Oryzias latipes: one gene and its partner. The protein of the gene in region 2 purifies or fractionates together with the protein of the main gene of each other region. This does not show direct contact. Links are inferred from orthologs where the notes say so. Each region holds a gene or a part of one and is shown on either strand. Other genes may lie near its edges.

What was found.
Region 1: the proteins of cdk20 (region 2) and fkbp8 purify together in Homo sapiens (affinity purification with mass spectrometry; 5 studies listed by BioGRID and IntAct, with this or other methods). This does not show direct contact. The link is inferred for Oryzias latipes from reciprocal best matches to the Homo sapiens genes CDK20 and FKBP8.

Annotation. Positions count from the first base shown.
Region 1 is NC_019862.2:8,042,429-8,046,346, reverse strand, and holds the start of fkbp8 (peptidyl-prolyl cis-trans isomerase FKBP8), read left to right. Parts: upstream 1-1,294; 5' UTR 1,295-1,731; coding exon 1,732-1,763; intron 1,764-1,863; coding exon 1,864-2,114; intron 2,115-2,275; coding exon 2,276-2,445; intron 2,446-2,561; coding exon 2,562-2,650; intron 2,651-3,095; coding exon 3,096-3,316; intron 3,317-3,594; coding exon 3,595-3,767; intron 3,768-3,834; coding exon 3,835-3,912; intron 3,913-3,918. UniProt on the Homo sapiens protein: Constitutively inactive PPiase, which becomes active when bound to calmodulin and calcium. Seems to act as a chaperone for BCL2, targets it to the mitochondria and modulates its phosphorylation state.
Region 2 is NC_019865.2:33,771,819-33,775,636, reverse strand, and holds part of cdk20 (cyclin-dependent kinase 20), read right to left. Parts: intron 3,740-3,818; coding exon 3,551-3,739; intron 1,719-3,550; coding exon 1,597-1,718; intron 1,519-1,596; coding exon 1,456-1,518; intron 1,195-1,455; coding exon 1,071-1,194; intron 1-1,070. UniProt on the Homo sapiens protein: Required for high-level Shh responses in the developing neural tube.

The DNA of each region.
Region 1 (3,918 bases), on a different chromosome or scaffold from region 2:
AAACTGATTTTCAGCGAGGGCCACATCAGCGTGCCGGCTGTCCTGGGGCCAGCTATAACTCATACATGTAACTAAATGTAATGAAAAATAAATGTACATACTCTTTAATGTTAAATAACTCATTAGTTATTTATTATAACTTTTTAAAGTGACAATTACAGCGGCATAGAAAACATGTGTTTGCATGGTACTCTAGCATAAATCCTTTTACATTTGATTCTGACAGGTTAGGTTATATTGGCAGTGTTTAAGTCCTAATGGATAGTTGCCCAATCAGATATTTTCAGATTCCCCCAAGATATGAATAAATACAAACCAATTTGTATTTTTATTCTAAAAAACTAAAAACTTTTATGCTCTCGCGGCCCACAAAAAATGACATGGTAGGCCACATTTGCCCCCTGGGCCTTAAGTTTGACACATGTGGTCTAGAGTGAAGTAAAGAAATGTCTTTTGGGCTCATGACACCAAAAATACTTCCGAGTTCTTCCTTTGCTTAAAGTGAAAACTGCTAATAAGCAAAGTTTCCCGGACATTCTTGTTAAAAAATGTCCAATCGGCAGCACATCGGAGGCAGAAACAACACAGAGATCGTTTAAGCTTTAAAAGTAAAAATGTGTGAGGAAATCCAGGAAGAATCACTCACAGCTTTGATGACTAAACTTGCGTTTTCATCTTTCGCTATTCTTTGGTCACATTTGGATTTATGTGACACCAAAATCAGTTGAAATGTGTTTTATAGTTTACAGTCCAGAATGCAGCTGCTTCTTTTTCACAGGAACCAGAAAACATGAAGACATCAGAGATTTTACATTTCACCACCATCTGAAAGAATTTACAGGACTGACCAACAAGCAGTTCTCTGTTTTTCAAAGTAAAAGTTCTGTGCCAGCCACTGATTCTTTTACCACCCTTCAATCAGTGAAACACATTTATCAGTAAAACTCCTTTATTCATTTCAAATTTTTGTTTTTAACTAGTAACAATGTTTAAGTACATTATTTATTGTGTTTTTCTATCTTTGAAACTTATTTGGGCGAACTTGTCTGGTTCTTCGGTTCATCAAATGTTTAATAATGATTGGAACTGTGTGACATCAGGATCTAAAGCATAACAGATCTTTCTGCTCTAAAAGGTTCGCGTTTTCGTGGTGAAGGATGTTCTCCGTCGTTTCATGAGTGAGCACAGGGTGTTTTTTAATGGAACCATTAAGGGGGCTTTTAATCTGAAAGCAGAGAAAAGCTTCTTGAAACATTAAAGCGATGCAGAGTGCTGCTGCGCATGCGCGAGGATCTACCGCTGTGACGAAGTCAGCCTGAGTGTCCACTGTGGCCCTTCCCGTTGGCGCCGTGCGCTCTAGACTTTTCTATTCGCAGTCTAACTTCCTGCGTGAGCTTGAAGGATCGGGACGCGGCTGTTGGACCAAAACAAGGCTGGAGGTGAATGTTCGCGTTCTAATTTACAATTTTAAGAACTTTTCTGTGTGTGTTCCTTCGTTTGGAAGTGATTCTAATCGACGACTTCGTTTTGTCAAAATGTCAGTGTCACTAAAAACTCTTAGTTTGATGGATGCAAATAAGCTAAGCCGCTGGCTCATAGCTAGCTAACCCAGCCACCTTCAGCTAACGCTAGCATTAGCATGTAGGTTTTGACCGAGAAACCTCGTTACTTTTTAAAAACCCACGGAAACGTCAGGTTTTCTGAAGTTTGGAGTAAAACTGTCTGCATGCAATGTTGGGGAACTGTAACGGATATCCTGGTCGGTACGTTAACGTCAGATTCTGCTGTTTGAAGAGCTTTTCTGTGAAGCTCAGAGATAAGCGAACAGAAAACGAGCTTCCTCAGTTTGACTGTCTTCTCCAGAATGGAGACCGTGGAAGCTGCAGACGGCCGCGAAAACGCTTCTTCTTCTGCCAGAAAGAGCGGACAAACGTCGTTGCTGGACAGCGGAGAAGACTTCGAGGTTGTGGATGAAGAGGACTTTGATGAGGAGCCTCCTCCTTTAGAAGATGCGGGAGGTGGGATGGAGAAAAGTTCAGATGAGACGGCGAAGAGGTCTCCACATGAAGAACCAGAGGCTCCGGCTCAGCTGGATGAGTGGTTGGATGTGTTGGGTGAGTCTGGCACTTGTTTGGCCTCTTCCCGCTGATGTTTCTTGGAAGAGAGAACAGTTCTTCATTTGTCTTTTGAATCTGACAGGTTCTGGAAGTAGTTGTGAGTTCCAAACAAGCATTTGGTGGTAGTTCTTGACAAGCCAACAGTTCTCTCTCTGCAGGAAATGGCCAGCTGAAGAAAAAAGTCACGGCGCCCGGGAAGGGACGAGCCAGTCGGCCTCAGAAGGGTCAGAACGTACGGATCCACCTTAAAGCTAGCCTGATCGATGGGACTCTGGTGGAGGAGCAACCTAACTTCTCCTTCACTTTGGGAGATTGTGATGTTATCCAGGTAAACCCTTAGTGGTGATATATGTCAGGGTTAGCCCCAACGCTCAAAATTACGTCTGCAGGTCTTGTTTTGTGGATTTGTCTCCGGTCAAACGTCAGTCAACACTTTTCTTCCAGGCTCTGGATCTGACGGTCCAGCTTATGGAAATGGGAGAAAAGGCTCTGATCCAGTCAGATCCTAAATATGCATATGGAGACAGAGGAAGGTGGGAGATAAGCTACTCTACATCAAACGCTGCAAATTGGTGATATAGAGAATTTTAACCATCCTTTAGAAAGATGGTAGCAGAGCCCAGAGTCTGAGGAGCCTCCAAATGAAATACTTTTTATTTTACTCACAGGTGGTTTAGTAAGTGGGAGGGGCTTTTTGACACACGTGGTCAAAAAAGTCTTGACATGTCTCACATTTACATAAACTTGGGTCAATAAGACCTTAAAAAGCAAACATTTGTCTTTAATTCAAGAGAATCTGTGTCTTTTCCTGACATGGGGGTAAAGGAAAGGAATCACTGGGAAATAAACTGTATGGATCCCTGGAGATTCACAGAAACAGACTGACTATGCCATCCTTTTTTTTTTGTTGGGGGGGGGGGGCGCTGCTGTTTTTGCTTCAGTCACTAAACCTGCCTGTTTTTTTTTTTCTCGTGTCAGTCTTGAACCTCGTGTTCCTCCAAACGCTCAGCTGTCCTTGGAAGTGGAACTCCTGGAGGCCACTGATGCCCCCGATGTGGAGCTGCTGCCCCCCGCAGAAAAGATTGCCCTCGCCAGTCGTAAACGAGAGAGGGGCAACGTCCATTACCAGCGTGGAGACTATGCGTTTGCAGTCAACTCCTACAGCATCGCCCTGCAGATAGCAGAGTCCAGTTCCAAAGGTGAGACCTTCATGACGCCGTCCCGCTTTCCCGGCAATGAAAGCTCCTCCCCCTGATCATCTTGCGGTGACTGATCAGTAACTGCAACTTTAAACCAAACAATGACGTGAAAATCAAAGCCCTGCAGATGTGAATGAGTCTTCAGTGGATCTTTTTAGCTTTTTTGCTCTGATCTTAGATTGAGATTTATTTCAAACATGTGAAGCAATACAAAATAATAATAATAATACATATAAAAAGAAGGAAGTTTGATATTGTCGTTGTGTTTTGTGGGACAGTGGACATCCGGCCGGAGGAGGAGGACGAGCTGCTGGATGTGAGAGTGAAGTGTCTGAACAACATGGCCGCCTCTCAGCTGAAGCTGGACCATTACGATGCTGCTCTGAAGTCTTGCGTTTCAGCTCTTGAGCATCAGCCAGACAACATAAAGGCACTTTTTCGCATGGGCAAGGTTGGCCTCAGTCCCGGAGCTTCTTGCTGCTGCTGAATGTCTGCTAAATGGTTGTTCTTTCCTCTAGGTTCTCTCTTTGAAAGGTGAATACACAGAAGCTATTCAGACCCTGAGGAAAGCACTGAAGCTGGATCCCAGCAACAAGGTCATT
Region 2 (3,818 bases):
CTTAATGACTTGTGCACACATTTAGTTAATTTTGTATTGTTTTGAGTAATTCTATTCTTTGAGTTCTGTTTGAGGCCTGATGCTGGGGCAGAGGCTGGAGCAGGAAACTTCCTGATGATGTGGCAGTGGGAGGAGCTGAAGAAGTTCCTGATGACTTGGAAAGGGAGGAGCATGGACAACTTCCATTTGGAGAAGATGGAGGGGAAAGACGAAGTGTATTCTTATGTTGGACTATTGTTTGTATTTTTTGGAATATGTTAAGCTTGCTTTGAGGTACAAGTTCAGTTTCTGTTGAAGCGTTAAATTACTAGTAATTTACTACTTTAATTAATATTTAGGTTTTGAATGTTTTGTATTTGTGCTCCCCTCCCTATTGTGTCATTGGTCTGATCAGCCAGTATAAAATCTCCCTAATGTTTCCTGTAAGGGGGTCAGTTTGAGTTCAGTTGGTTTGAGCTTTTGTTATTGATTCGCTCAGTTACATTTTTGTTAAGTTGACCCCATTTTAATTTGAGCCCCTGTCGTGTTGTGTTGGGTAAAATAAAAACCCCTGATTTGAAGATCTTTTTGTCCTGTGGCTCAATCTCTGCCGAGCGGACCCTGACACTGCCATTAGATTGTTTTAACACATTTAAGGTTTATGATTTATTGCGATATTTGCCGTTAGAAGCAGCATGAAAACTTCTGAACTAGTGTTACCTACTACACTGCAGTGCTCTCTTCAAAACATCTGAAACAGACTAGAGCAGATTTAAGTTTGATATGGTCTATTTTCAGTCATTGAAAAGTGTAGAAATAAGTGATGTCACCAGAATGCACCAAATTGCACCATATTAAAAGTTTCCGGGGGGGCATGCCCCCAGACCCCCCTAAAGTTGCAAGCACCTGCGGAGCGGCGGGTCCCGCTATGCGCGGTGTCGGGCCAGTAACTTTCAGGCAGGGCCAGTAAGTTTCAAAAACTACTGGCCCTGTGGGCCAGTGCAAATTTCTGGGCTATGTCAACCCCTGCAGTGTTGGTCTATTGAGCACAACAGCACACACTTCCATGCTGTTGTCCACTATAATCTCACCGGCCAACTGTCCACCGTTGGTGTTCCCAGGACTCGTAGGACACAGCAGAGCTGCTCGATGTCATTCTCTCCTGGGAACAGAGGAGACGAGTTCAAGAGCTCGCCAAAGATGCAGCCCACCGCCCTAAAACACAAGGATAGTATGTGCAACTGTGCATCCATACACACCTGCATCATATGAGAAGCTGCACACACAAAACCACATGGACACCACAAAGACATTTGCATGTGTGCAGACACACACACAGACTTGACACATGCACCTGCACACACACTCAGATGGACATGAGTGTCTGCTCACATTTGTCACATTTGTGTACACAAATGCAGACATGTGCACCTGCACACACAAACACACACATCCTGTTACAATGCGTCATATTACCACAGGTCCACTCCCTGATCGTAGCGGCGTGCTCCATACAGCAGCTCTGGAGCTCGATACCACCTAAACACAGACGGATCAGAGCTCCTGTCTAAAACATTGAGCACTTTCAGGTTCATGCAGAGCACTGCTTGGCTCTACCTGGTGGCCACCTGGTGGCTGTAGAGCCGCCTTCCCTCATGGCTGAAGAGCCTGGCTAAACCAAAGTCTGCAATCTTCAGGTGACCAGAGGAACTGATAAGGAGGTTGGCTGGCTTCAAGTCCTGCAGATCAGAGAAGTTAAGCTGACATCAGCAGAGTTTCAAATGTTTGCCCACATTCTTTATAAAAGGAAAGCCCTTCTGTTGAGGTGACTTTGCTGTTGAAGCCTCCTGAGGAGCCGATGGGTTTGGGGTGCTTCTGTCATACACATATGCAGGGCTCGACATAGCCATTTGTCCGCTGGCCCGGTCCTGTTTTTCGAGCAGTGCGGACCACAAGACTTTATTTTTTACTTGTCCACTCGGGCCACTAAAATATCTAACAATTAATACATTTTTCACCTTTTTCAATAAAGTATATTTTGCGAAAACGTGTAGATTTACCTCGTCTTTATAATTCACTTTTTCTGCTAGTCCTGTGTTCAGACTTCAAGGGTTTCTATGGGAAACCTTTTATCACTCTTCTCCTCCTCTCCCGCCTGCTTGCGCGGCTTTCACTGCCGAGCACCACGCGGCACGCGCTCACTCAATTTTTTTTTCAAACTTTATTGAATGTAACAATTCAATACTAAACAATGTTAAACGGCAACAACGAAGGAACAAGCCAGTGGGTTATTATTACATTTTAGGCAGATATATTTAAACTGACACACATATCAGCGCGCCCCCTGGTGGTTTTTCACCGCGATGATTATAAATCCAACACCGTCACTGAAGAGACACTGAAGCATGTCAGAGATGTGGAAGACATGGCAGGAATAGATAGGAATATGTTAGATGGAGTGACGGGTGGAATTAGTACTATGGACAGCAAGATATTTAATGAATGCATTGAAGATGAAACTGTATGCACTAAGCTTTAAGCTGAATGTCAAAGAATCAAAGGCAACTCAAAATACCTGAATCTCAGACTCAAACGGAGTATAATGTCAAAGTACTTAATTTTGTTTTTCTTTACAACACTGTAAGCAGTAAGTATTTCTAGTTAGCTGAATGATCTCAGTAATTTAATTGTATTTAATTTTTCAATTATTTAATTTAATTAGGTAACTAAAGTAACTAAAAAGTAAATGTAACTTTGCAACAGTAACAAAAAGCAGAACCTTAAGGCAGTCAGAGCAAAAAAGTCAATAAAACTTCTTAACTATTGATTAGGAACAAATGTGAAATAGCAGTGATTAGAGGCAGCATGAAAACTTCTTAACTAGTGTTAACTACTACACTGCAGTGCTCTCTTCAAAAAATCTGAAACAGACTAGAGCAGATTTGAGTTTGATATGGTCTATTTTCAGTCATTGAAAAGTGTATAAATAAGTGCTAGATGTCACCAGAATGCACCAAATTGCACCATATTAAAATTTTCCGGGGGCATGCACCCGGACCCCCCAAAAGTTGCAAGCACCTGCGGAGCGGCGGGTCTCGCTGTGGGCGGTGTCGGGCCAGTAACTTTCAAAAACTACTGGCCCTCTGGGCCAGTGCAAATTTCTGGGCTATGTCAACCCCTGATATGCCACAGTCAGTTCTGTTGTTTTGATTTTTTTTACACAAAAAAACCAAAGGGATAAAATAAGTTGACTTTGTATGAGTTAATGAACCTGATTGACCAAGACCAGACCAGAAAGGGTGACCGCAAAGAACCCGATAGCAACAAAGTGGCACGAAACAGCGGTCAACAGAAATAAACACCCCAAGATCTCCTCTCCTTCATTCCAACTGCAGGTGAGAAAGTGCTCATCTAGTATTCCACCCAGGGGTCGCTAATAAACAAATTAAGAAAGGTGAAACATGCAAAACTACTAAGTAGAAAAGGAAATGTGCAAATACACTACATTTTGGCTCCTTCCTTTACCAAGAGAAAAACCTGACTACCACGTTTTCTACACACAGGCACTCACCCGATGCATGATGTTGTTTTGGTGTAGAAAGGCCACACCCTTTAGCAACATCACCATGTAGCCTTTGACCTGTGCTGGGGTCAGATGTCGCTGGTGGTTTCTGATCACCTCAGAGAGATCTGACAGCATGAAGTTGAAGACCAGGACAAAGCCTGTGCCGTGAGGAAAGACGTCCTTCAACTTTACCACCTGAAAAAGGCAGACAGAGAGGCTTCACTCACCCACAACCTTTTCAAGTCAACACCAAAGTCCAGCTGACTAAAGGGTA